Linked DNA regions of Astyanax mexicanus. The protein of the gene in region 2 purifies or fractionates together with the protein of the main gene of each other region. This does not show direct contact. Links are inferred from orthologs where the notes say so. Each region holds a gene or a part of one and is shown on either strand. Other genes may lie near its edges.

Region 1 (7,207 bases), on a different chromosome or scaffold from region 2:
CCCATACTTGTTTCCCCAAACTAGAACACTATGTTTGGTGTAGGACTATGCTTAAAGCAAAGCACGTAGATTATTAATTTAACTAGTTAGTTAACTATTTAGCTAACTATAACGTTTCCCCATTTTAAAATGTCTCGCTGAAGAGTACAAAGACGTTACAAAAATGCTGCGCTAGTTCACTCTTGTTTAGTTAGGTTAGCTACCTAGGTTACCTAACCTAAAACACGTTGGCTCGTGTGTATTACTGTACTGTATGACTTTACTAGCTTGCGTTTAAGTAAGTGCTCAAGTGCACACTCGATAGCGGACCCCGGTGGGCGGGCAGCAGGGTGCTCGGCGTCTGAATGCTGCAGGGTGAGCGGGAATATTGGAACGCTGCCACTCTATCGCTACAGTTTCGGTTCATAAACCGCCTTGCCGCGGGTCAGCACCCGAACCTACCGACCAACCTGCCTGTTTACGCGCTCGGCTGGCCGGTCCGCGCCCCCCCCTCGGCCGCTCAGCGCTCTCCTCCCCAAAACCGCGGAGCTTATTTTCACGGCAATCCGCCGAGTCGCACCGCATTTTCCGTCTGCGTTCAAACTCGAGCGCGCTGCCCGCGGCCTGGTTAACACCACAGGCCTCAGAACGCATGGTCTCTGCGGGGCTGTACACAGATTTGAACCCACCTGCACTAAAACTCGGGTCTAAACTGTGTTGGAAGGTTCGGGAGAGTGTTCAGAACCGCTTACCGACTGCCCCGCAGCTTCAGCTGAGTCTCAAAGCGAGCTGTTGAGGGTTTATCCGCAGCGGAGAAATCCAGCCTCGCCGAACGCAGCGCAGAAAACCAGCAAGAACACCTGACCACACCCACCTCACACATAAACCCCGCCCGCAGGCTGCCCATTCGCGGCGTGTCTCGTCACTCAAACGAAAAGCGCGCATAAGTCCCACCCATGCACAGACACTGACCAATCCTAGCCTGGCAACTGTTGCTAGCTTCCATACTAAAAGTAGCTACCCGCGCTAGTTAGAGCTAGCGTTAGCAACGCAAGTACTGTGAATTGGGCAGCTACACCTTCTGCGGTTCTCACAAACACAATTAAATTATACACAACACAGTGTAACTCCAAGTCAACCACACTTTTGTAAAATCAATATGTCCAGTTAGAAAGCAACAATGATTGTGAATCAATTTCACTTGTTATTGTGGAAATGTAACAGACAAAAGGTAGAAATAAGAGACAATTATCAAGACAACCTTTATAAAGGAGTGGTGACCACAGACCTTTTTCTCTGTTCTCATCCTTTCTGGCTGATGGTTTGGTCACTTTTGCATTTTGTCAGTTCTCTCACCATAGAGGTAGCATAGGCGGAGTCTACAAGTGGCTCAGGTAGTGCAGCTCATCCAGGATGGCACATCAATACAAGTTGTGGCAACAAGGTTTGCTGTGCCTGTCAGCACAGTGTTCAGAGCATGAAGCAGATACCAGGAGACAGGCCAGTACACCAGTAGACATGGAGGGGGCTGTAGGAGGGCAACACCCCAGCAGCAGGACCGCTACAGGAGGAGCGGTGCAAGAGCCCTGCAAAATGACCTCCAGCAGGCCGCTAATATCCATGTTTCTGCTTAAACTGTCAAAAATGAGGGTGGTATGAGAGCCCAATGTCCACAAGTGGGGCTTGTGTTTACAGCCCAACATTGTGCAGGGCGATTCGCATTTGCCAGAGAACACAAAGATTCGCCATTGGCGCCCTGTGCTCTTCACACAGGTTCACACTGAGTACGTGTGACAGACGTGACTGTCTGAGTCTGGAGACGCTGTGGAGAACGTTTTGCTGCTGCAACATCCTCCAGCATGACTGGTTTGGCAGTGGGTCAGTAATGGTGTGGAGAGGCATTTCTTTGGAAACATTAGATGCTTTTCCACCGGCATGGTGCCAGTGCTGGTGCCAGGTTCCCGAAACGGTTCTTTGCGTTTCCACTGCAAAAACAAATTCTTGGCCAGAAAAGCCGGTTCCGTTCTGGCCCCACAATCTTGCTGGTCTGGAACCATCGAACCTGTGACGCGAGCAGCCAAAGGGCGGGGCTCTGAAGCATCTCCAGGACAAAGTTGTTTACAAACCTCACCTCAATTCACAGCTAAGAGCAGTAGAAGCAGCTAAATGAATCTAAAGTGAGGACAGCAGCACAAGTTTTAAAAGGAGCTCGGGTTCTGCTGTGTTGTTTTCAAAAAGCCCCCAACTTCTGTTTACGCCCACATTCACATAAGTAGTAAGTGACCCCTTAGAGCAGAGGAAACACGGGCCGGTCCTTAAAAGGTTAGCAGGAACCGGCTCCGGCACCAGCACTTTGTAGGTGGAAAAGAAGTAATTGATGCTACGGACTGGCCTGCCCGTTCCCAGACCTGAATCTAATTCAGCACAACTGGAACATCACGTCTTATTCCATCCACCAACGCCACAGTCCACCACAGACTGTCCAGGAGTTGACTGATGCTTTAATCCAGGTCTGAGAGGAGATTCCTCAGGAGAACATCCACCGCCTCATCAGGAGAATGTCCAGGAGTTGTGGGAGGTCATACAGGCACATGGAGCCACACACACTACTGATCCTCATTTTAACTTATCTTGAGGAATTTCCACTGAAGCTGGATCAGCCTGTCATTTGATTCTCCACTTTGATTTTGAGTATGATTCTAAATTCAGACATCCATGGGATAATAATTCTGATTTACATTGATACTTTTTGTGTTATTTTGTTCTCAACGCATCACACTATAATAAATACAGATTTTCAACTGGAATATTTTATCTAGGATGTGTTATTTTAGTTTTCCCTTTATTTTTTTGAGCAGTGTATATAATATCCTCTCATATAAATAATACACAGTATTCAGGGCTAATAGTTTAGAATTTCTCCTGAAAGTAAATTAGCTGTTATCCATGGCTGTTATTCTAAGTCAAATCTGTGCAGTTTAATGCTATAATGTCAGAGGAAGATCTACTTTTTAATTTTTTTGTAAGAGCCACACAAGATCTGGTGTGGTTCTGCTGCAAGTGAAGACTGTCAGCAAGACCAGGCTCAGCTGTATCTCCAACATGCCTAATAACACATTTGTAATAAAAAAAAACTTGAGGGTTTTTTAGGGTCTTTTGGGTGTATGTTTTCACTTATGGAATTTTATTCATTTATGCCAGTCTGCTTTACCTTTGTATGTTGTCAGAAACCATTTTATTTGACTGGATAAAAAAAACAAGATGAGAATAGTATAATTTATACATTTTGATATATTCAGTTTTATAAGGGATAAAAATAATAAAATGTGGTATGTGATTTTTACATAAAGTTTCACATATGCATATACAGTGGTGTCAGAAAGTATTTGCCCCCTACAGATTTCTTGTGTTTTTGCCTTTTTTTTTTGGCGTACTTACAGCTGAGCTCAATTTTACTAGCCACAACCAGGCCTGATTACTGCCATACCTGTAAAATCAAGAAATCACCTAAATAGAACCTGCCTGACAATATGAATCAGCTAAAAGATCTCAAAAAGTGTGTTTGGGCTCTGCAGCAGGACAATGATCCAAAGCACACTGACAAATCCACCTCTGAATAGCTTAAAAAAACTAAATGAAGGTTTTGGAGTGGCCAAGTTAAAGTCTGATTAAGATGCTGTAGAATGATCCGTTTTTTGCTTGAAACCCCCGCAATGTGGCTGCATTAAACAATTCTGTAAAGAAAAGTGGAACACAATTCTTCCACAGAGAACTCCCGGACCTGTTTTTTATATTCACTCAGGTTATCTTTGTCTTATAGTAAAGTGTGTTTAATACTTGGAAAAATTATTACAAAAAAAAAGCAAAAACAAAAGAAAGCTGGAGGGGGGCAAATGCTTTTTCATGCCACTGTGTGTGTATTTTAATAATACATTAATAATATAATAATAGAAAATATTTTTTTAAATTTACTTTTTATTGCAATTTAATAAAAAAAAGTATTAAAAGATCTTAGAAGAATAGCCACTTATAATAAACATATTCTAAACGTGTTTTTAAATGTAATGGGTTGTTTATATTTAATGGCATAAATAAAATCTTAGTAATATAACACATTTTTAAAACAAAAGAAAGCCTGTTTTTATTATTAAAACCTGCTGTTGAATATTGATTATTGGTCGTGTTTTGTGTTTTTTTAGGGGACTTTTACTGTGGCGGAGACGCCGCTGCTGCGTCACTTCGTCCCCGGGCTCAGTGCGGAGTGAAGATGGCAGAGCAGCAGGCCGCGGACTCGGAGCTGGACGAGTTACTGGACAGTAAGGACTGGGTTTACTGGGCAGCCCGGTAGGGTTTCTGTTTAGTGAGGGTTCAGAATAACACAGAGGAGTAAGACAGTGCGCGGCACTGAAATATCTGGTGTTGTTTTACCACTAAACTGGAGTTTATTTAAATAACTCGGTCCACCTTAAATAGTACAGCAGTTACTATACTAGTTTGAGGAATTAGAATAAAACTGCTTTATCATTTAAGGTGGACCGGACAGATTCAAGAACAAAGTGGAATTTCTCTTCTTTATCATGCAGTCAGTGTAAAAAATGGTCGCATACACGTTTAATTAGGTTTATATTGTTTATGAATCACTTTTATATCTACTGTAACTCAGGTTTACATGGATATTTAATTATAAATAGTATAAATGGTAAATGGTAATGTAAATGTTTACAAATCGTATTATTATTAATATTATTAATTTTTTAATTAGTATTATTATGGGCAACAGCAGTGACAGAGTGGTTCTAACATCTAACAGTAATAACTGTATGCTAGATAGACTACCAATAAATACATTACACAACAGTTTAACTATTTGTCCAGAACTATTCAGGCATCTAATGAATAATTTCATATATCCCAAGTAATATATAATAGTTGTCTGGATATATAGTAAACATAAGGCAGAATGTAATTGCTGTGTAATCTAAAGTATAACATTCATACCAAGTCATTTTTATTGTTGTTTTTTATTTTATTTTATTGTTTTATTATTAACTTGATTACTCCGTTCTTAGGTGCTCTCGATGACTTTGACAAGAACAGCGCGCCCCGTGCGGCTCCTGAAGCCGCTGCAGCTCCCAGTGAAGAAGCTAAAAGTGCAGGGCCAAATGTAAGGATCAGTTGTGTCATAATTTAACCTTTTGCTCTTTTTAAATATTAATGCCTTTAAATCTTCTGAATGTTAAAATTCTTATAATTTCATTTATACGTGATATTTATGTTATTGGGTCTTTCTTTTTTTTTAATTGACATTATTAGAACTCATGATTTTTTTTTTGTTATGTTATTCAGTGTGTATAAAACACTGACAGTTTGTGCTTGTGTGTGTCTGCAGCCCCCTCTGCTGGAAGACAGTCAGTTCTTTGAGTCTCTGTTTGAGGGGGAGATGGCCAATCAGGCAAAGGAGGAGTGGGAGAGGGCAATGGCTGAGCTGGCGCAGGAAGAGCCAGAGCTGCTGCAGCATTTCCATAAACTGTCAGAGGCTGCTGGGAAAGTCGGTACGTCTGCATGCATGCTGGATACCTGGAACTTTTTTGTTACCTTTGTTAACACACAAGTAGAATTGCTTCAGTACAACTGATTGCACAAACCCCACATCATTTAGTGCTCAAGTAGTACTGAACAGTGTTTATGAACCAGTCTGGTCACTGATTTAAAAACCTGAACTTCTGATTGTCTGTGTTACATTGGGTGTTCATCAGAATCTGTTGTGTAGTTCTTAAAGGGATAGTTCGGTATTTTTGACATGAGTCTGTATGGCATCATCATAACCAGTGTCGTGCATCCACACTGACTTACCCCCCACAGCGTCCTGTGAGCCGAGTTCTTGTCCAGTTTAGGTCAAAGCGAAAGTAGTCCGGCATGTTTGCTGGGGTCAGGAAAATAACTCCTTTTTCTTCCCAAAGCAGTACGTGTTCAAAAGAGTGATTTATTTACATCACAAAAAACTAACCCTGCAAAAGTCACGCCTCGTAAATCACTTGGGTCCTACTTTCTCTCGTTCCATATCAATGCGCGCAGCGCTGCAACCTGACAGCTAGCCTACGTGTTTGGGTCGCTTTGTTTACTTCTCGCCTCGAGAACATGTCTGACTACGAGAGTGACGAGGAAAACATTGATCACCGCTCAGAGCCACGGGGATATCTTTATGAACCCGAGTATACAGATGTTGAACTTCGCCAAATGGAATTAGATCGGGCAGAAAGAGAGAGGGTGGACAGAGAAGTGGTGGAAGATGAAACTGGAGCCACTGCTGGAGCTGCGATACCCAGGGTGGCCGACAAATCCTGGTGCACTTGTTTCAAGTGCGAAATAATGCAGACCGAGGTGGAATGCTACTGTTGCCACGAGTTAGTTATGCCCGAGATGCAAGACCTATCCATTGATGAGGATGTCAGCGGGGCAGCTGCTTGCATCACAAACAACAGTGACTTCCCTGCACTCCTGAATGCTGGTGTGTTGAGAACTTTTTTACGCTATGAGCGAATGCTGTAGAGAACATTGGTAGGCTACAGTTTTATTTACCTGGGGTGCAGGGACAGCAGATTTCTTCAGAATCCGTTTCTTCATCTGTCGTTGTCCAGGACATGTGGATAAAAAGTCATCATCGCTGAAGTGCGCACTGCAAACACGAAGCTTTTTTATTTTTTCCACTTTTGTGTCCACATGGATGCCCAGCGCTAGTACCCAAAGTTTCCTCAGAGCAACATCAGTCACAGGAAAACGATGAAAACTCTGCGGAGAATCAGCCACATCTTTGTTGCTACAGCCTGGATAGTCACAAGTCCGCACCATTTTAACACACACACACACACACCTAGCTATATATATATATATGTGTTTACAAAGCTTATAAAAGCCAATAGACTTCTCCCTAAAGTTAGCTCGTTTGCGTTGCTAGTCTGAACACAGCTGCTAAGCACTGCCAAAACACAGAACAAGTTGACGCGTGCGCAGCTCGCTGTCAGAATGACGCGCACTAGGGGTGGGCGATATGGCCCTAAAATAATATCACGATATTTCAGGGAAATATCGCGATAACGATATTTTTGACGATATAACAAAGATATTTTATTAATTTCAAGAAAACAGTATTGCAGAAAAAAAAATTATGTCTAAGCTTTATTTAGTATAAATGCATTTCACACTTAAATATTACATTTTTTTGCCTTTT
Region 2 (7,026 bases):
GTATAGAACACAACAGCAGGTAAACAGTGTATAACTTATTAACTCATATTTTAAGCAGATTTTTTTGTTGGTTCTTCAGTTTAAATACCACACAAAACACCAGTTAGGCCTTAAATCTCTTTAATATACATTAACTCTTTGACTCAGAGGTACAAATATATGTAAAGGAAGAGGAAAATAAAAAAAAATCCTACTGTCAGTAGGAAATAAAGGAAGGATGTCTTCACACCTTTTTACTGTGTCCACAGAGACGTTCCTCAAGATGTCCCATTGGATGAGACACCTTCAATTCCAGTCCTAGAGTAGCACACGGGGTCCGATTCTCTCTAAACAGATCTCTAAATGCTTCAACAGAACAAAACATCAACATTAAATCTAAAACCAGTCTGGATCAGGTAAGGCTCTTTAATAGGGAGTTGTGGCTGGTTGTGGTGCTTCTCGTCTCTCACTGTTTGGATTTCAGTGCTGTAGCTGCCACGCCCACTATAATGGCAATGACGGTGAACCCCTGGGCGAAGATACGCGTCCGCATGAGCATCTGAGACTGGTGGGTTTTGCCGTGTTTAAAGGCCCGAAGGCCGTACGTCAGAGCTCCTGCCGTCCCCAAACAACCTGCAGAGAAACAGACAGGAAAACACATTAATGCATTAATTGATCCACTTAGAGATTACGGAGTAGCATTTAATTATTTCAAGATTTTAAATGATTTAATAGATATTTTAAACGATTATTTTAAATATTTTAATATGACTTAGATTACGCAGCATCACACAGTTCTGGGAAAGAAAAAGAGATCTTGTAAGGCTCTGCCAAAGTTACTCAGTGCATTTATAGATAATATAACAAATAACATGTAATGAAAGTGTCTTATCTGTATCGCAGTGTGAACAACAAGAAACAGCCAGAATATCTGGGCAAAGCAAACCCAGTCTGAACAGATAAATCAGAATAAATACCAATAAATAAAATGGATTACGTTAGTAAGTGAGGAGTTCAGTTGTTGCATAATAGGTAACAGATCTCTTACATATTTGCACAGATGACTCCGTTTAACTAAATTAGAAGCCACATATCACAACCACTCTCTGTTTAACTCTGTGTTTAAGGAAGATTAAAATCATATAGGCATATAAAAAAACATCAATTAATGTGTCTTTTTTTTATACAGTGAACTCAAACGCATTAGACCAACCTTAAGTATGGAGCAAGTAGGTTTATGTTTATCTGCTGTGTTTTATGTTGCATTTGCACATATGTATCAACAATGGGCATAAAGTTATTAAGTATATAATTATAAGTATAAAGGCTGAATACATTCAGTATAAAGAGGTTTTGTTACATGTCCACCTTTAAAGGCCTGTTCTGGATTCTTGTACAATTATACAAGTCCAAGATAATTATTTGATTATTTAAACAGTCATTTCCTGTTCCTGACCAGGTTTATTTTTGCAAGGAATCCCAGCTGGACTTTGAGGGACCCTGATACTCATCTCAGAACCCCCTCGAGTCCAAAAGGAGCAAAGGTTTAGGACAAACTGTTCGGATCCTGTTAGTGTTCACGGTCCCACATCCTTCCAGACCCACTGCTGGGGAACTTACTTGAGGAATTACTACTCACAAAAATCTAATTTAGTGTTTTTCTTTTTACTTAGTCTGCTTTAATTTCTTTAATTTAGCACTGCACACATACGTCCTCTGTACACTTGGAGAGCATCAGCAGGAGATGAAAGACAATAAAGTCAGGCAGAACATTCAGATCTGAGTTTGTACAAAGTGCTAATTCCACCAGCAGCAAAACAGCTTCAAAGCATGATGCTACCACCACCACACTTAACAGCAAGTACAGTACAGTAAAATAGACCTTGTTTGGTCCAAAGGTTCCAAAATAAACTAAATGACCAGGTGGTTTCCATCCATATTGAGTGAACCATGAATAATTTCCTTTTTTCACAGTGAAAACTCTGTTTGGGTGTTTTTTTTTTTTTTATTATTCTTTTAAAATGTTCTGAATCTAAACTATGAAGAAAAACTAAATTAAATTATTTAGTAAACAAAAAAAAAGTTAAATGTTTTATATTTTAGATCATTTAAAGTAGCACATCTTGCTTAGATCTGCTTTAGACATTTTTGCACATTTTATTTATTTTTATTTATTTATTACCAGTACAAAATAAGTACAATAACAAATGTAAAGAGACTATCTTGTAGTAGAAGTTAAACAGTACAATTTAAATTGGATGATCTTTAAAAGCTTTTAGACGTCCTTAGAAGTGAAAGCTGGCTTTGTATTGGACTCAGAGCACACAGAGTGTCCACAAACATCTATTGTCCTCCTTTATTGAGTTCTGGAGGCTCAGCTGCGGATCAGAGCTGGAACTATAGGCAGGTTCCAGCAGGTCAGATGTTCTACAGGCTGCTGATATAACCTATGTTAGATACTGTTGTTCTAGATATGCAGCAGCAGAACTAATGTTACATGTTAGAGGTCATGAAGGTGTTTACCAGCTATATAAAGCCAATAAAAAGCACAGAAAGTTATTAAACACTGAGAATAACTGAGTTTAGATCTATAGATGATTATAAACACACAGCAGCAGTAGTAATAATAATAATATCTATAATCCGGCAGTAATATAATACTAATAACAGCGCTGTTACAGAGCTTGTGTAACAGTGTAGGGTATCTCACCGATAGGGACGAACGGGTTCTCCTTGGTTTTGCGGAGAAACTTCTCCTTAAAGCTCTCCTCTTTCTGCCGGGGCAGCGGGGTGAAGCCCTCTATGACCGGCGGGCTGCCCGGGTTAAAGGCTGCGGCTCCGGGCAGCGCTGTCCGCCCAGCCCGCTCCTCCTGTACCGCGCTAGAAGCGACCGCCATACTCAGTCCGGCTACTGCCTCTACTGCTGAGCTCCGTACTCACACCCATACACACACTGCACTGCACCGCCCCTACAGGCCTCCTCCTGCTACTGCAGCTACTGCCTCTACTGCTGCTGCTTTAAAAATAGATAGATAGATAGATAGATAGATAGATAGATAGATAGATAGATAGATAGATAGATAGATAGATAGATAGATAGATAGATAGATAGATAGATAGATAGATAGATAGATAGATAGATAGATAGATAGATAGATAGATAGATAGATAGATAGATAGATAGATAGATAGATAGATAGATAGATAGATAGACAAAAAATAAATTATGTTTTATAGATACATTTCTTTGACCTGTTATTTTATTATAGTGACTGCAACAAGGATATTTGTTTTTTTTTATCAATCTGCTTATCTTACTGGGTAAAATCCATAAAATGAAATTCAGAAAATAAAATCCTACCTATGCCTTATTTAAAGAAGACTTCTATTCCTACATATATTCAACTCAATATATGCAATGTAAAAGAATCTGCCAAATTAATGAATATATTGAGACAATTACATCTTGTTTAAAAATATAAATTGCTTCCTCATACCAATCTGTTACACCGTCTTGTTTTTTTGTACTTTACTTTATATGTATATAAAGATAAATAGATAAAAAATTCTGTTGTCACTGAATTGAAGTTTTTCCTTAAAAAAAAGTTATAATCTGTTTTGAAAACCTTTCTGTAACTTTTCAATGAGAAATAACTGTTTGTAACTGTATTCTCTGGAAATTCTTAATATAAAAAAAGAACATTTTAAATATACGTAATACATAAATATAATTATACATAAATATATAATTCTATATTCACGATTTTTTTGTGCTGTTTCAATATACACAAAGGAAATAAACATGTGTAATTTTAATTTCAATTTCCAGAAAATGTGAAACACTGTATATCAGTGGTCCGCTGCATTCATATTTACACATACATATCAACAAATATTTTTCTCACTTTGATCAAATTAACTCTTTAAAAAATGAATGAAAGAAACAGAGCTCTTAGGCTTCTTTTCTGTCCACGTCACACACAAACAAGGCCCTCGCGTCGCACCTCAACGTGATCACGTCGCACTTCAACGTCATCACGTCGCATTTAAGCGTCGGCACGTCGCGGTGGGGGGACTGGCGAGGTAAGATGGCGGCGCCAGAGGAGCAGGAATTATCTCAGGCTCAGACTGAGAAACTCCTCCAGTTCCAGGTACAGTTCGCTCTGCTCCCGCTCACCCACACCACTCACACCCGCCGCCCTGCGGTCTGTCCGGCATACGGGCTCAGAGCCGCCGCGGAGCTCCGAGCCCCGGTTTCGCCGCTTTAATACAACGATAGGAACAGAACAGTTAGCATCAGGCTAGGCTAAATTAAGCTAAGCTAATAGCTAGGTTAGGCTAAGCTAAGCTATCGGCCGCTCCGGGGCTGTAGCGCGGAGGCTCTCCTCGCGCTGCTGCTGCGCCTCAGCGGTTAGCAACACTGCTAACTATTCTACCCTCAGAACCAGCGCAGCCTGAGCCGATTAATGATCGATTATTATCGATAATATCGTTCAGATAGAGCGCGTGAGGAGCGCATGGGTTAGCCAGGAGCTGCCGGAGCATCAGCAGCTGTCAGTTTCCATCAACTTAGTTGGCTGAAACTTGCTGTTAGCCGGTTACTCAGCATTCAGGAGCCGTTGCTGAACCTGTAGCTCCCCTGAGTCTAATTTGGTCTAAAGGAATAAACCCGAATTAAGTAGTTCAGCCAGTTTAAATTCAGTAGTTTTAGTAGATTCAGTAGTTCTAAATGTTTAATCTCGCTGTTCACTTAACCTGACCTAACTCTGGTCCAGAATTAGCCCTAATTAACTAGTTAACTAATTCACCAGCCCTAATTATTAACTACAGTTCACATTAGGGCTGGGCGATATGGCAGAAATCTTGTTTATATCATGATATACTTTTTTAAATCGTTGGTACGATACAATTACATTATGTTGATATCAACATGCTCCGTCTTTATCTTTGGTGTTGTAATAACACACTGGTGAGAGCTGGGAGATACAGTTAAAATAGTATATCACAATATTTAAAGATGTTTTCATGATACACTTGGGTTGTAAGAAATATATCGAGAAATGTTGAGGTTGAGTGAAAACCTCTGGAATAATATATGATAAAAAAATAACAATATAATAATATAATCAAGAGGAAGATGGATGATCACAAGCCATCAAAGCAACCTGAACTGCTTAAATTTGTGCACCAGGAGTAAAGGCATAAAGTTATCCACCAAAAGCAGTGTGTAAGACTGGTGGAGGAGAACATGATGCCAAGACTTTATTAACCAGTTAAAAAATATGGCCTTAAAATGTCCTGTGTTACAGTAGTAATAGTAGTAGAAGGGGTACTACTACTACTAGGTACTAGGATGAAGAAGCTTCTAATCTTTTGTCTTTTATATTTAGTTTGTTAGTAAAAAGTTCATATTTAATTTCAGGTTATATTGGTACATTCATCGTGACATTCAAAAAAATCAAATTGTGAAATAACTTTAGTTAGATTGACACAGAAATGAAAGTGAAAATGTTCCTAGGTGGCTCATGATGATTTATATATGAGGGCTGGGCAAAATGGCCATTTTGATATAATAGTTAAGAATATAAAGGCTACAGAAAAAATGCCAATAACACTCTCAACAAATGTTTGTACCTACAAAAGGCTAAAAATGAATTTGCCAGTTCATGTAATGCATCCTGAATTCAGTGCCAGGTCAGGTAAATTGTAAATTTATGTATACTCAAATAGTGGAGAGTCATATTGGCGTTATTAAAGCATTTTCTATTACAATATTGTATCAATATGTATGTTGATATTGAATTATTGATGTTTTACAGGTTGCAGTGTAGATTCAATCACTACTGTACTAAATAGATTTTTATTAAAGGCAAAACAGATGGGTGTCATTCTTAAAACATACCTCATATGTACAGTATGTCCTAATATGCTGTTAAATAATGCAAAATCTATTATTTTTAATCCCGTACAGGACCTGACGGGCCTGGAGTCGATGGACCAATGTCGCCGCACATTAGAACAGCACAATTGGAACATTGAGGTGAGCGCTGACGGGGGAGATCAATGATTCCTTTCAGAGAGATGTTGGAGAGAGCTTTTGGCAGCTGGAGCTGCATTGTTGTGATGAGAATGCTGCTGTTTTACAGGCCGCCGTACAAGACAGACTAAACGAGCAGGAAGGAGTTCCCAGTGTCTTTAACCCGCCGCCCGCCAGACCCCTACAGGTTAACACAGCAGATCACAGAGTCTATAGCTATATCGTCTCCAGGCCACAGCCTAGAGTAAGTGCTTCATCTGTACCCTGTTACTGACGCTTACGTTTGTAAATACTATTTGTTTCGTGTCCTCATTCCTTTCTTACCTCTTTATTTTACAGGGATTATTAGGTTGGAGTTACTATTTGATAATGCTCCCCTTCAGGTTTACGTATTACACACTTCTGGACATATTCAGGTAACACTTTTCTGCTTTTACAACCTTTAATTAATTCATTATAGTTTTATTCTTTTTTTGTTTGAGTGCATTAAGGGTGTAATACTTTCCACAAACGATAAAAGCCCACGTCTGCAAGAACAAAGCAGACGTATGTAGTCTAGTATGAAGATGATCTGTGCAGAGACTCCAGCCAAAGTCCAACTTAAGCTTCCTTAATATATTTACGTTGTTCTATGTGTAAAATACATTCATTTTCAATAGGCATATATGCACCTGAAACACTACAGTACAGCCTAACGCATCCCAAATTATATTTTCAACATAAACATTTTAATAAAACATTATAGTCGTTATGGCTTTTAGAAAAATGTGCACTATAGGTCTCTGTGATATGCCCTAAACTTAACTAGTACTTTTACACTTATACTTGAGTAGAAAGCTTGAGTGGACCAAACAAGACAGGATTGTTTTTGTGCCTCATTGCAACCCTATAATGTGCAATATGTGTTCTATTTCTTAAAAGATCTAACAAGTTCTTTGTTATTTTCTTCAGGTTTGCCCTGAGATTCATTAGGCCGGATCCTCGGGGTCGTGTCACAGATCCTGTTGGAG
Region 3 (7,572 bases), on a different chromosome or scaffold from region 2:
AGTTGTAGCAATCTGTCAAGAGCAGTCTGGTTCAGATCCAGTTCTAATGAGCAAGCAATTACTCATATTTGAAAGAATAAATTAAAGATAAAATACAACCATGCTCTAAAGAAGATTTTTTTTTATCCTAATAATACTCTTGATCTAAATGATCTGTGGCTGCACTGTAGTCCTAGTCCAAAAGGTAGACTCATCGGACTGCAAGAATGATTCAATTAAATGCTTAGCATTACATAAAATAAGCTGCTTTCAAATCAATAACCACATGCCACTCACCAACATGTGAATATGATGCATCAGGTCAAGACAGAGAAGAGCAAGCTCCATAATGAAATCAGTGTAGTAGACATAAGAGCCTTTGCTCTCCCAAGTCCCCTCATGATTCAGGTCCCACAGGTGAATAGAGTACCTAAAAAAACAGTACAAGCAAAACCTCAGTGATATATTTTTCGAAGCACTTAACAGCTCAGGTTTCTTTGCCTGCAAGTGACAGCATAAACGGCGGTACACTCGTAATTGATACTGGACTGACAAAATGCTTACCTTATAATAACATGTCCAGTGCGCACCGTAACAAGTAAACACTGCAAAATAGAAAAGGATTCTGTTTTTCCATTCATAAAACAACTATCAATTTCCTCTCTAGTGTTACAGAGAAGCTCGGAAACTGAAAAATCCCTACCTCAGCTGTCATAAATGCAACAGTATGCATGCCATGAAGATGTCCGACCAGGCCACAGAGCGCAGCTAGGCCTCCACAGCACAACAGCATGGACACTAGCAAGGCCAGTACTCGCACATGACTGCTCATGGGGGTGGTTGGGGAGAATGACAGCTAGGGGGGGGGGGGAAACAGAATGAATGAATATCTGAGTGTGATTTCCTTTTAAATTCACAATTCCACATGAAACAGTAGATAAAAGAGCTATATACTTAGTTAAATTCAAAAACAACCAAGAATTCTTTCTAAGTGCTTATAGGAGTACTCACATATTCAAACCGATCTTTACAGAGCTGAACCATGAGATGAAGGAAGATAAGTACAGCAAACCACAAACACCACAGCACTACCTCGTCCACTGTTTGCACATTCAGCACTCCAAAGATGAAGATAAATTTATAGAAGATAAAGTTCCAGAACTTGTCCTTCAAGTGCTGTTGGGATAGAGGTAGCACAGAGACATAGGGGTTTCATAAGAAAACAAAAAAATCCCCAAACTCTGTTGTTAGAACACAGAGGTGTAGCTAAGAGGAAGCTTCATAAAGCAAAAGGTTAAACATTCTGGCAAATAACAACTACAAAAACTGCAATGTTCAGTAGTCTTATTGTGAAAATATTCATTAATATTAATATGCTTTTTTTTTATTTTTGGCTGAATAACTTCAGTCTGAGAATATTTTGTGCATCATTGAATAAAATGCTTCTTCAATAATCAGGGCCAAGCCCTATGCAAGCTTTTGCGCTCACCTGTTTCTCACTGACCCGCAGAGGACCAAAAACAATGCACTGGATCACCTTGGCGATTAGCATGAGGACACAGCATGCTGTATTCACCATCACCTGAAGAGATAGGACAGTGCAGTTTGCTTTGGGGGGTGATTACTCGTTGATCTTCATAAACACAGGGACAAAATAAGCTAAATAATCTATAAGGACGCTGTTTGCTGTCACAGTGGACCATTAGTAAGAGCACTTACCCAGACGAATAAGTTGTCGGCGATGAGATACAGCAACACGTTAGAGGCAACATGTTCAATGGCCTCTCCTTGATCAGCTTTACTGTCCTCGATGGGCTCGGTCCGGGCGTCCTCTGCTACCGGAGCTGCGGGCTCTGGGATCTGGGTTACAGCGGTGTAGGCACTGAGGATCGAACCAGCGAGCAGGACTGTGCTAAGCGCAGTGTAGGTCTGCAGGCTGGGCCAGGGGAACCTCTCCAGAAACAACAGGGGCATGGCGAGACTGTCCAGTGTGCACGTCTTCAGATAAAGAGAGGGATCTACAGAGAGGCTTTCTGTGTTTACACTGAAATGTTTACACTGATGATGAAATGGGGTGGGAGCAGTACTGTGAGCTCCCGTCTTCTATAACGTTAGATATAGTTTAGCTAAATAGTTAATTAGTTAACCAAGTTATTTAGCAGGCCTAGTTGGCTATTTAACAAGCTTTATTTAGGATTCAGGTCACGGCACGAACCCTGTGAAGCTGGATAGCTACCAGGTTAAATAGATATATAAGTTAGACAGGTAAGGTAAGTTAACGTTAGATAGGTTACCTAGACACTAGGTAACCTTAGCTAGCTAAATAATTAGCTAGCAAGTTGAAAATTCGTTTCTGTGCTGTCACAAGTCCTTAGAACTTAGAATTGGGAAAGCTAACCTAGCTAGCTTAGCCTGACAGCTAGCTATCAAAATCTAGGTTAGCTTACGTGTTGTCTGTTAGCTAAGCTAAGCTAGTTGGTTTAGCATTACGTGTAAACAACACAAGACACCAGTGAAAACGACTAACGTTAGCTAGACTAGACTATTTAACGCTAGGTTACATGCATTTTTCTGCTTTTCTCGGTTTTAAATTCCATTACTACAGATCTCAGGGCGGGCAAATGTTTTAACAATAGCTACAGTTTCACTGGCAGTGCCTGTGGTCTCCAGCAAGACAGGTTAGTTAGCTAGAGAAGCTAACAGGCTAAAGCCAGCAGGGCTATAGCTCACCGCTCCAGCTGAAGCCTCGCCTCTCAGTAATGTCAGTAATATTCTTAAGCGGATTAATACGAACTCAGGCAGTCAGGGGGAAATGCCGTCAGTGACTATTTCAGGCCGAGTTCGCCCACAAATGTCCGAACAGAACTTGTAGTGCAGGCTGTGTTACAACTACAGGACTCCCGGGGTCCGCTGTGTTCGTCTCTGTGTGTGTCTGCTCCAGTCTTCCAGTTGTTTCTCGGAGTTTCTCTCTCTCTCAGCTTTTCCGGCGCTGCTGACGCAACCCGAGCCTCTTCCGCTGTTTACACAAGAGAACATGGCGCGTATCACTCCGCCACTGTACTATTGCTGCGGAAGGCGCTGATGGGGGATTGTTGTAGTTCTAGTTATACAGCATTTAATTGCTGGGAAGTGTGTAAAAAAAATCATTAGTTAAACTATCGACTTCAGAGTGCTAAAAAAAGTCTACCAATCCATTACTGAACTCTCCCCAGTATAGCTGTAGAAAGGTAACCTACAAGCCCCTATGGTGAAGTAAAAAAAATAATAATAATGCGTTGCCACGACCTATTAAGGCATGGGAACGAGATATAAGTCCTGGCCATATACACCACTTAAAAATTATGGGTTTCTTTGACTTTACCAAATTGAAAACCTCTGGAATATAATCAAGAGGAAGATGGGTGATCACAAGCCATCAAACCAAGCTAAACTGCTTGGATTTTTGCACCAGGAGTGCCATAAAGTTATCCAAAAGCAGTGTGTAAGATTGGTGGAGGAGAACATGCCAAGATGCCAAGATGCCACCAAATATTGATTTCTGAACTCTTAAAAACTTTATGAATATGAATTTGTTTTCTTTGCATTATTTGAGGTCTGAAAGCTCTGCATATTTTTTGTTATTTCTGCCATTTCTCATTTTCTGCAAATAAAATCTCTAAATAACAGTATTTTTATTTGGAATTTGGGAGAAATGTCTGTAGTTTATAGAATAAAACAGCTATTCTACTAGTTCATAAGCAACTAATACAAGATGCTTAGAAAACTATTGCAGGTGAATACCTCATGAAGACACTGAGACAATACCAAGAGTGTGCAAATCTGTCCTCAACGCTAAATGTGGCTAAAGTATAAAACATATTTTAGTTTAAAATATGTTTGTGTGGTCGGGGGCTGCAGTAGCCCCATCCACAACGTTTAAAAACCACTTCTTTAGATTTCCCTCTATACTTGCCTTGTCATTGTTTTTATTAGTTATTTTTGATTTAATCTCTCCACAAACTTTTTTTTGCAAACTGTTTTTAAATATTTTTAGCAAACAATAACTGTTGTGTGGCAAACCAGTGAGTTAAACCTTACACTGTAGACTCTGTATCTCTGTTCATGAAGACTTCTGTTACTATTAGACATGTTTGGAAGACATTGTATGCTAATGAATGCAGTTTTGGATGCACTCTGCATAGTGACACTTTAGTGTATTGGTTTAGTTTACTGGCACATACATAAAAGAAGAAGACTTTGAGACTTTTAGAGTAAGATATAGTCTATGACAAAAATATAGTCTATGACTAGTCTTATTAACAACCCAAAGTGTTTTCCATATTAATGTGTTAATGAGTTTTTGGCAGCAATAAACAAACAAATAAATAAACAAACAAATCTGGACAGCAGACTTCGAAAACACAAGAGGTCAAATATAAAAAAATACCTAAAGTTTTTAAAGTCTTAAGGCTACTGTAGTTTAAGGCCTTCTATAAGTGTCTTTGTCATAAACATGGCTTTTATCTTGAAATAGAGATAAAAGAAATAGGAGAAAGTGTTTGTTTAATATAGTTGAAAAACAATATTTAATTCCAAAGCTTTCTACACAGGCAAAATTTCAGTGCATAGGAAAAGGTCACATACCTTAATGTTCCATACAATTTCATAAATAGAATATGGAATCTGAAAAAGTTTCAGATAAAAAGTGTCTGTCACGTAACAAGTCGTCTAACAGAAAATGTTACAAATCAGTGTGTTCTCAGCAAATCACAAATCAATCATGCCAAATTACACAATTACAAACTACAGTTCCAGTGGCAGCTTCAACTATCACACCTAGGTTACACTGTAATAGTGTAAAATGTCCTATACAGCCACCCCAAAATATTTAGATTCATAAAAACAATATTGCATAGAGTCATAAACACCCTTCACAGTCAACATTTTGTGAAGAGTTGATTTTAAACTGAATGTCACATTCAAGGCACCTCAGCAAAAGGCACATCTAGTCTCAGGTCTCAGCTTGAACATTCACATTTCATAAGTCCAGTTCAAAGAACAATTCAAAAGATAGTACCTAGCAATCCTAGTAAAGCTCGAACCCATACTATGCAGCAACTGCTTATAAACACATTTGATTATTGCAAATACAAAATGTATGATAAGTTTTCTTTATGAAGCCCTTTTAAAAGTATAAGGCAGATAAAATACATTACAGTATGTACAGTACAACTTGATCATGTCAGAGGATCTGACTCAGTAACAGTGCTGCTATGGCAAGCTATAAGAATCCCCTGCAGGATCTGGACTCTGGAACAAGTCTCTGACAATGATCTCGCTCACTGAAAAGAGAAGAAAGAAAAAACACAAGTTAAAAACAAACATACCATTAACTTTTTTATAATGGTAACAAACAATAGTTAATAAAATATTAAGTATTAGGTATGTAAATAGGGCACAAAGCCTTTAGCACATTTTGCATTCTCATAAAAAATGATTCCCTTTTACATAGTACTTTTATTTCAAATAATTGTTTTCTTGCCTGTACAATATTCTGTTATGTATTTTTTTTAAATGTCTTTTAAACACATTTTAATGTTTTTTTTTGTCTGAATCTGAATTTTAACCAGATTTTCTTTTTTTATCTGAAACCCACAAATAATGAATTAATGTAGATGTAGATGTAGTAGATGACAAATGACAATGCACCAAATATTTGACAACTGAACTTATCTATGTTAAAATGGTAATACTAATAATAAAAAAACACTTTATATTCTGTATTCAGACTTGTTGTTTGGTTTTGGTCAAAAATGTTCCATTTCAGTATATCCCTAATATTAGGCCAGTATTGTTAAGTCACCTTTTTTTACATTTAAATTCCCAAAGCTCCTAATAGCAGTTTTCTGAGCACAGATTAAAGTCTAAGACTGCATGGAATGTCCAGTAAAGTATTTTTAGTCTCAGTTAAAATCTTAGGACTGGGCTTATCCCGTGTAGAGGAAATGATTTTAGAACCATTTGAGGGCAGTGTTGTTCCTATATTTGGGCTCAGCTGGGTATCTGTATATCCTCCTGTTGTTCAGTGCAAGCACAACGCTGTGTGCATCACCAAACAACCACAGCTGGTATAGAGAGTGTGAAAACGCAATCATGCTAAAATTTTTTTTTTTTTTTTTGTGCTTAACAACACACCTTTTACTGCAACACAGTCATATTTGTACAATCTTCTTGATTCAATAGATCAAATGTCAAACACCTAAAATTAGTCAGATATGGTTCTCAAAACAGAACTCAAAGGGGGCTATTTTTAGCATCAAACAAAACACCTACACATCATGGGAAATACAGCATGTATATTATCTACTGTCTGACCAATATCTGATCTGATTTTCCTTTTAAAGCTTTTAGATGTTTGTCTGTATTTCGTCCTGCTAAACTTCTCTAGAAATACCAAACATAATATATAATTCAAATATAATACATACGTGTCAATTCATTATAAATACACTTGAGCAACAGCAAATGTATATTTTCAGTAGGGTCTGTTGCAGAGAATGGAAACGGCAACACATTTGCAGGGTTACACTCTTGGCAATGAAAGGCCCTATGATGAGAAACAACAGTACTCAGTCATCAGGGGGGCATAGCAGTCCACTGCACCTGTCCTCTCCAACACACAAAAGTGGAGCTGAGACATGGTGGCAGAAGGCCAGGTTGGATGGGTGCCTACTCTCTTTTGAAAACACAGAAGCAGGCTAGGGAGTACGAGAAAACATTTAACAGAATTATATTTGAGCTTGTAGGATTCCCAGTCCAAATTTAGCCATTTAAATGCAAGGTTACACTTCAGATAGAAAGATGAGGAAATATATTTTCCTGTCCGCCTTAGAGGTAGGTCAGAACATCTTTCACTTTAAATGTGCTGTTCCCTTAAAATACACAAGCTAAGAAAGTAACAGTATAAACAAATAAAGCTCAAACCCCTGAAGGCCACAGATTTGTCAGGCTACACAGTAGGGTGCCAATATCCTCTGCTATGTAAGGATCTCATTTAATGCTAAGCACAAGAATGTTTTGTATGAACCACGCATGTCTATCACTACAGTGGCTTAACAGCTGTGCGCTAGTAACTACAGAAGATTAAGCTCCGCAGTATATTTAGCTCCCTCACTGACTCTGATGCAATGCTACGTACAGGCCTGTATCCTCTTTCCCACTATGCTGCAGGACTGAGGACTATAATTAGACTCAAACCAAACAGGTTTCCACAAACTGTGGGGTAGTACCTCCTGGTCTTCTATTGAGAGTAAAACAAAAGTCAAACGGGCCCCTGGCTTATGTTTGACGTAAATTTATATGAACAAAGTTTATTAATTGTTGTCCTAATTAACTGTCTCAGTCTCAATTACCTCCAATTACCGAAGATAAATGCATTTGCATATGCTCCAAAAATGATCTGCAATAAAATCATTTCACATTTACTAACTTTAATGTTTCATCTCCTGTGAACCAGTAATTTAGAAATGCAAGATTGTTTGTCCTTCAGTGACAGTATATCCACCAACCAACCAACCGATCACTTTATTTAAACCAATTACAGCCCTACAATTA
Region 4 (7,134 bases), on a different chromosome or scaffold from region 2:
AACATGGTGTGACTGGTGAAAATATATTTGGCCCCTAAATGAATATTGTGGCCCCTTTAAGAACCTCTACTATGAGCTCCAGAGTCATACGAGCAAACCTCTGACATGAAAGCGAAGGCAGCGTTAATGCTTACACTTAAAATTTATTTTTTATTCAGAATTTAATGTACTCCAATTAATTACACAGGATTAGTTGATTGATTACTCATGTTGTATTAAAAATCTTATTGTGCATTATGATACTATAGTCTTATCGCCCACCTCTAATAAACTGAGCCTATATTCCATTTAAACACACAGTGACCCACGTGTTTCACACAGTCAATGTGTTCGGCGCCCTCTGGTGGACTTCATATTTTAAATAACCATTCCACCTTAAATGGTGCAGTACTTACCTGCTGCATTGTTTAAGGTGGTATGGAATATTATAACTCAAAAGAGCCCATGTCACAGAGCCTTTTAAAAGATGTATAAATTTACTTAGAGCACTTTGTTCTTCACTTTAGCTCACATTAATTTCCTTAAGTGATACATACTAAACATCCTGAGAGCATCACTACAGGACAGTGTGTGAATCTGTGTTCACTCATCTCGCCTTATTTATTTACAGAAAGTAGAAGTGCTTTAAATAGAGATAAAACCACTAAAGCTCCTTTAAAAAAAAAAAAAAAAAAATTCCACATAGGCCTGTCATGAAAAATTAAATGTTTTCAACTTATCACACAATAAACATATATGACCTTAATGACATGTAATAATCGTGATATCATCACATATTGTGTTTATTTGTATGGTTGTTTATATATAAAACATATATTTAAACAGTATTTTAGCCAGTCATGCAATACCAGACCAATGCTTCAACAACTGCAAAAGAAAAAAAACAGAAAAAAAAAAACCATATATTTCCCAAACTATGATTCATTTAAATGTTGTATTTAAAAGGGTACAACTGCTTTGTTGTGCTATTTTACTATCATTATGTCAGTAGCATTTAATGCTAATTTCTGGGATAATATATTGTCCATAAAAATGTTTTATTGTGACAGGCCTGTTCCAACCATTTTAACCATTCAAATGCTTTAATTAAATGTTTTACAAACACCTAGGAAAAAAAAGTAAAATACAAGACATACATTTTTTGTGATATTTATTATATCAGGATTTAACTTGATAAAATGTTTACAGTCATGTGTTCAGAATAAAAAAAAATGAGCTGCTTACTGAATTTATCTGATTTGATTTTTAAAATAGTATCAATATTCAAATGTGGATCTGGGTTCTTTGTAGGTTAAGAATAAAATTTTTGCTTTTTTGTTTATATTTTGTTCCTTCTTTGTTGTTGTACTACACATAAATCCCCCCAATATTTTATCTAGCTATTTAAAAATCTAATTAATTCACGAAAAAAAATAATTCACTCAAAATTTTAGTTAAAAAAAAAAAAAAAAAAAAAAAAAAATACACACAAAAAAAAATGTCTCGCTTTCACACGTGCACCCATGCTTGAACAGGCACGCACATCATTTGCCTCTCAAACCAAGAGCCCTGCTTACCCAGTGATATGTGTGATATGTTACCCTGTGACTTAGCGGCTCTGCACATGCACTCACACACAATTCTGTATAATTACTATATTTTTCACACAAAAAGGTGCACTTAAAATCATTTAATTTTCCAAGAAACCATCAGTGTGTCTTATAATCCAGTGCATCTTATGAATGAATTCTATCAGTCAGGTATTAAGGAGCAGTAAAGTACAGCGTTAAACAGGAGTTTAAGTGAAGTTTCTCCAGCACTGAGGCTGGAGCAGTATTAGCATTAGCTGCTAAAAGCACTAAGTGCTAGCAAATCACAATCCACATAATTGCATTTTGACTAGGTGCAGCGCAGAATTCAAAATGAAATGTAATTACTTGGTGTTACAAAAGTGTAATTAGAAATTCTTATAAAACAATATATACAAAATTATCATATGAGCTAATTGCCTTAGATTTTCCCTGATAAATAAATGAATAAATGACTAATTACAAATCTGTCCTGCACGTTTACTCAAAAGCATTTTTGATATGACGTTTTTATCCTACCTAATAGGGGCGTGCCATGTCATAACGTACGCAATAATATCACAAACAATTCATTATAAAAAAAAAAATCTATATCGTGACAGTGATATTCATGAAAGAAGTCTGTTTTGCTATTTACTGTAGCCCTGTCATTTTTTTGTGGACGTTATTTTGTCCTAGAAATAAATGCGAAAAAATATATTATTGTAATTTTAAAATCATTATATGCCACTGACATAATAGTAATAAAATAGGATGAAAAGCAGTAATATTCATTGTAATATGATAATAATGAATTATACTTGCATTGTTGTTGTAATGTTATTTATCAAAACCTACATGCTATATTTTTTGTGGGGAAAAAAATAAAATAAAAATGATCTATAAATACAGACCTGTGGTAGCAGGTTTTGACAACACAGCCCAAATCGACATAACACTGGATCGCTGGTTCACAGCTAATAATAATTAGCTATCTCGCACCTCTCTCATTAAGACCGAGGCCTAGGCCTCCCTAACCCTCAACCTCCTCTCCCAGCGGCCCCGGCTCTCACCTGGAACTTGTGGAAGAAAGCCTCCGGCCACAGCACGAGGAACACCGGGCTGATCAGCCCCAGCTTCCCGATCAGCGGAACCGCGATCGAGCCCGCGAACCAGTACCGGGTGATGAACGGGACGCTCTTAAACCAGTCCCCGATATCTGACATCTCTCCTCGGCGCTGCGGAGCCCTCAGCCCCGCTCCTCTGTACTCTAACCTGCGGCTACACCGGGCCCTGAGCGCGGCGCTGCGGCTCTGCGGATCGCGGCGGATCGCGGCGGATCGGGGTGAACCCGGTTCGGCTGCTTCTATTTTGGTTGAGTGTCGGTCGGACGCGCTTTTACTCCGTTTACATGACGTGGCCCCGCAGGAGTCGATAGGCTGCGGCCGCGACGCCAAATGACGGTTCTTGCTGCGATTTGTCCGCGTCTCCTGCGCGTGCATGTCAAAATAAAAGCCCCGAGACCGCGAAAGAACACATGAGGAATAATGTAATAAACTTTAAAAAGGGTTAACAAATGATGCAAGATTAAAGTCGTAACATTACGAGATTAGTCAAAACATTATGAGATTAAAGTCATTACATTACGAGATTAAAGTCATTACATTATGAGATTAAAGTCATAACATTACGATATTAAAGGCATAATATTACAATATTCAAGTCATAACATTATGAGATTAAAGTTGTAATATTACGAGGATAAAGTCGTAATATTACGAGATTAAAGTCATGACATTACAAGTTTAATTTCATAACGTTACAAGATTTAAGTCACATTACGAAATTAAAGTAAAAATATTATCATAATATTACAGGAATAAAGGTGTGACATTACGAGAATAATGTTGTAATATTACACGTTTATTAAGACTTTAATGCCATCTCATAATGTCATTCCATACGTCTTTTTCTCTCGTCATATTACTAGTTTATTATCGAAGTAAACTGTTTTTTAAATAGTGTTTGTTAGTTGAGCCCGCCTAAGTGCTTCTCAGAGTATTTTTAGTTGGTTTAATTACACGATTCATTATGTGTTATTTCATAGTAGGAAAAAAATCTTTGACTGGTACTGTATATTTGTAGAGCGAGAAGAAAGAGAAAGAAAGAAAAAAAGAAAGAGCGAGAGAGAGAGAGAGAGAGAGAGAGAGAGTGGGGGGGACTTTTATTTTGTCTTCACGTCACTCGCAGTAGTTGAGGCGGGCTGCAGGAGCCTGATTTGTTTTTGAGTCGCTATCTGAAGTAAAATAAACTGGTTATTTGTGTCGGGCTAGTTTTTATAAACCTTTTAACAACTTTAACACTATTATACTATATTTAGCTACGTGTGTGTACGCTTGTTTTGTTGGCTGAACCCGGTTGTTTCGGATAAATTATCTAACTACGGTTAGCTTAACATGCTAACTAACTAACTAGCTAACTTGTAAACACGCTTTACCCACTCGCAGGTCAAACCGGTTTACTTTCCGATTAATTCAGTTTCTTAACCAGTCCGCTGTAGCCGGAAATCACAGAGGTAACAGTTAGCGTTAAATTATGTCGTTGAGTTCAGTTCAGCCCGCGCTGTCCAGTCTGAAGACATGTCAGGTGGATATTGGGACAGGGATGGACATCGTGTCAGATGTCGCTCTGGATCTGGTGGAAGCCCAAGGTACAGTACAGCTATTTACCTAAATCTAACCTTAACTAATTAACTAACTAATCTTTAATCAAATACAGCCTTTTATACATACAGTTATATATTTCCTACATTGTAAATAAATGTTAAAGTATTTTAGACTATAAAGGAACACGTCGTGTAGTAAACGAGTAAAAAGTGTTAAACAAACCATAAAACCTATTTTGGTCCCACTTATCTGTGACTGGAACTTTCCTGTGCAACAGAGGTAACTCTTGCTCTTCCTTTTCTGGGGCGTTACTGATGAGAGCCAGTTTTATCATAACGTTTTTGATGGTCTTTGTGGTGACTGCACTTGAGGATACTTTAAGAGCTCTTGAAATGTTTCAGATTGACTGACCTTAATTTCTTAAAGTAAGGTTAATTATTGCGAGAATAAAGCCGTAATATTACAAGATTTAAGTCGTAATATTCTGAGTTTAGTCGTAATATTGGGAGATGAAAGTTGTAATGTTATGAGGTTAAAGTCGTAATATCAAGACTTTAATCTCGAAATATTACGACTTTAATAATGCCATTCCGTACGTTTTTTTCTCATCATATACTGAGTTTATTACTAAAGTAATTTGATTAACCGAGTTACTGGTTTAATGCGAAGCTTTATGGTTTACAGCACTGTAAACATGCTTGATGTTTCTTGTAATTGTTGAGAGTGTGTGTAGATTCAGATGCTGTGTTGCTATGATTCTTTTTATTTGTTTTATTCCAGGCACTGATGACAGTCCGAGTTTAAGAAAATTGGAGCAGATGATGTTAGAATGCGCTGCTCTGGACAGAGAGATAAACTGTTTTGTGGAATCTGTTGAGCAGACGACAGCTCATGTTAGTAATTTTAGATCGTTTCAATTCTAATTCTAATATACTTTTTTCTATCCCTCTAATTCATCTTGTATTTTCTCCTGTGTCTGCAGGTGAGACGAGAACCTCCACAGGCCATGTTCTCGCTGTTAAACTCTGTAAAGAATCGCTTTGCTGAACTAAAGGACAGGGATTCAGACGTTCAGAGACACAGCAAAGTAGTGGCTTTCAGAGACAACATCAGGAAATCTTTGGCACAAGGTATCGTACACACTGTCTCTTCCTGTCTCAAACACAGTACAGCGATTTCAACTCATTAAACTCAAAACAATAAATGATGATCTCTGTCGTAGGAAAACTCTTCCTCTTTCATTTATTGGTAGAATAGCTACAATCAAAATGACAGTGTTACTAAAAATCAACTATTTGTTTTTAATGATTCCCATCTACCTGGTTTCAGTTTCTGGTACCACTTTAAAATAAGACTACCTTTATAAAGGGTTTATAAATGGTTTACAATTAGTTTATTAATGGTTACTAAGTAGGTTGTAAATGCTTTAAAAATCATTAATAATCAGTTATAACACATACAGAGAAAGGACAGTGACCTGTTGTTTGCCAAATAGTGAACTATATTACACAGCCATCTGTATTGTTGCCTTTTCTACGTATATGTGTTATAACTGATTATTAATGATTTTTAAGGCATTTTCAACCTAATTAGTAACCATTAATAAACGAATAGTAAACCATTTATAAACCCTTTATGAAGGTAGTCTTATTTTAAAGTGGTACCCAGTTTCTTAATACCACTTTTTTGTTTAGCCAGCAGTGTATTATTGTACTATTATACTATTGTATTAATCGGATTCATTTAGGTAGCAGTTGTTTGAGATAAAAAGGTAATTAAACAGTTCTCATGTGTGTTTTTTTAGTGAACCAATCAGCGGCTGCCCATGTTGAAGAGGAGCTGGATGAAGACATTGCTGTTACACAGAGCCAGACAAACTTCACATGTCCTCTTACCCAGGTAAACTTTTGCTTTTAACAGATACATTAATAGTGTTGTCTCAAAATCCAACATTTTGACTTTGGATATGATACCTGCCTAAATATCTCAATAACAATACTGAAACAATACCACAGCATTTTAACATTATTAATAATACTAATAAAGCTTATTGAAATAATGCCACAGTGAATGCGTGCTTCAATCACAGCGATTAAAAAAAATGGCAGTTTAACAAAATACTTTTTTTTTTTTCTTGGGTGTTTTGCGCAACTACTGGGGTTTTAAATGATAAAATAATGTATTAGCATTAATCACATTATTTTTCCTAGTTAATTTGGTCATATTTCTTTTTTATTTTCCATAAATGCATCTTGTTTAAGCTCTGTGGTTGGATGCAAAGGTTTAATCAAAGTCTGTTTATTACGTAATTTAAGTAAATTCAGGAACATTTCATGGTGTGAGTGCATATTATGTATTACTTTTATAAAAATTTGAGTGGTTTGACCTCATCATTCACAGGTTGAGATGGTAAATCCAGTACGAAACAAGAAGTGCCAACATTACTACGACCAAGAAGCTGCACTGACCATGATCAAGACCAGACACAACAACAAGAAGAAGTTCCGGTAAGCTGCTTTCAGCTGTGTGCATTTCTGCACATTTCACTTAGATATCCAATATTTTGTCTAAGGGTGAGTTTTCAGAGAAGTTTCTTCTGCACTAAGGCTGGGTGCAGCAGCATTAGCATTAGCCACTAACTGCCCAATAGTGCTAGACTGAGGAACCCTGAGTGTTCCAGTAACCCAGGATGCTGGGTTCAGATGTAGCTTGTTTTAACACAGCCAACACACAGACTACAGTCCAATATACTCACCTCTGAACAGTAAAATGCTGCTGCACCCAGCCTTAGAGCTGCAGAAACTTTACAGAAAATTTACCCTTATAATGCTGTACTGCAGGGGAGTGGCTTTACTGCTCCTAAATACCTGTCTGGTAGAATTAATTTCAGAAGTTATTTAGTTTTTTGCATGAGCGCAACA

What was found.
Region 1: the proteins of faf2 (region 2) and pex19 purify together in Homo sapiens (affinity purification with mass spectrometry; 4 studies listed by BioGRID and IntAct, counting the BioPlex papers as one, with this or other methods). This does not show direct contact. The link is inferred for Astyanax mexicanus from reciprocal best matches to the Homo sapiens genes FAF2 and PEX19.
Region 3: the proteins of faf2 (region 2) and amfra purify together in Homo sapiens (affinity purification with western blotting; 9 studies listed by BioGRID and IntAct, with this or other methods). This does not show direct contact. The link is inferred for Astyanax mexicanus from reciprocal best matches to the Homo sapiens genes FAF2 and AMFR.
Region 4: the proteins of faf2 (region 2) and derl1 purify together in Homo sapiens (affinity purification with western blotting; 4 studies listed by BioGRID and IntAct, with this or other methods). This does not show direct contact. The link is inferred for Astyanax mexicanus from reciprocal best matches to the Homo sapiens genes FAF2 and DERL1.

What each region holds. Positions count from the first base shown.
Region 1 is NC_064415.1:44,425,008-44,432,214, forward strand, and holds the start of pex19 (peroxisomal biogenesis factor 19), read left to right. Parts: upstream 1-4,192; 5' UTR 4,193-4,246; coding exon 4,247-4,295; intron 4,296-5,048; coding exon 5,049-5,143; intron 5,144-5,368; coding exon 5,369-5,531; intron 5,532-7,207. UniProt on the Homo sapiens protein: Necessary for early peroxisomal biogenesis. Acts both as a cytosolic chaperone and as an import receptor for peroxisomal membrane proteins (PMPs).
Region 2 is NC_064426.1:2,400,439-2,407,464, reverse strand, and holds the start of faf2 (FAS-associated factor 2), read left to right. Parts: upstream 1-4,020; 5' UTR 4,021-4,067; coding exon 4,068-4,130; intron 4,131-5,950; coding exon 5,951-6,019; intron 6,020-6,125; coding exon 6,126-6,260; intron 6,261-6,355; coding exon 6,356-6,432; intron 6,433-6,967; coding exon 6,968-7,026. Other genes in the region: higd2a (HIG1 domain family member 2A, mitochondrial), read right to left, coding at 446-612, 2,690-2,876. UniProt on the Homo sapiens protein: Plays an important role in endoplasmic reticulum-associated degradation (ERAD) that mediates ubiquitin-dependent degradation of misfolded endoplasmic reticulum proteins.
Region 3 is NC_064409.1:59,157,518-59,165,089, forward strand, and holds the start of amfra (autocrine motility factor receptor a), read right to left. Parts: upstream 3,004-7,572; 5' UTR 1,954-3,003; coding exon 1,699-1,953; intron 1,562-1,698; coding exon 1,469-1,561; intron 1,156-1,468; coding exon 991-1,155; intron 836-990; coding exon 683-835; intron 585-682; coding exon 544-584; intron 410-543; coding exon 277-409; intron 1-276. Other genes in the region: nfatc3b (nuclear factor of activated T-cells, cytoplasmic 3), read right to left, coding at 5,230-5,300. UniProt on the Homo sapiens protein: E3 ubiquitin-protein ligase that mediates the polyubiquitination of lysine and cysteine residues on target proteins, such as CD3D, CYP3A4, CFTR, INSIG1, SOAT2/ACAT2 and APOB for proteasomal degradation.
Region 4 is NC_064413.1:4,744,215-4,751,348, reverse strand, and holds the start of derl1 (derlin-1), read right to left. Parts: upstream 3,024-7,134; 5' UTR 2,774-3,023; coding exon 2,621-2,773; intron 1-2,620. Other genes in the region: nsmce2 (E3 SUMO-protein ligase NSE2), read left to right, coding at 4,143-4,257, 4,994-5,106, 5,196-5,343, 6,018-6,112, 6,614-6,720. UniProt on the Homo sapiens protein: Functional component of endoplasmic reticulum-associated degradation (ERAD) for misfolded lumenal proteins. Forms homotetramers which encircle a large channel traversing the endoplasmic reticulum (ER) membrane.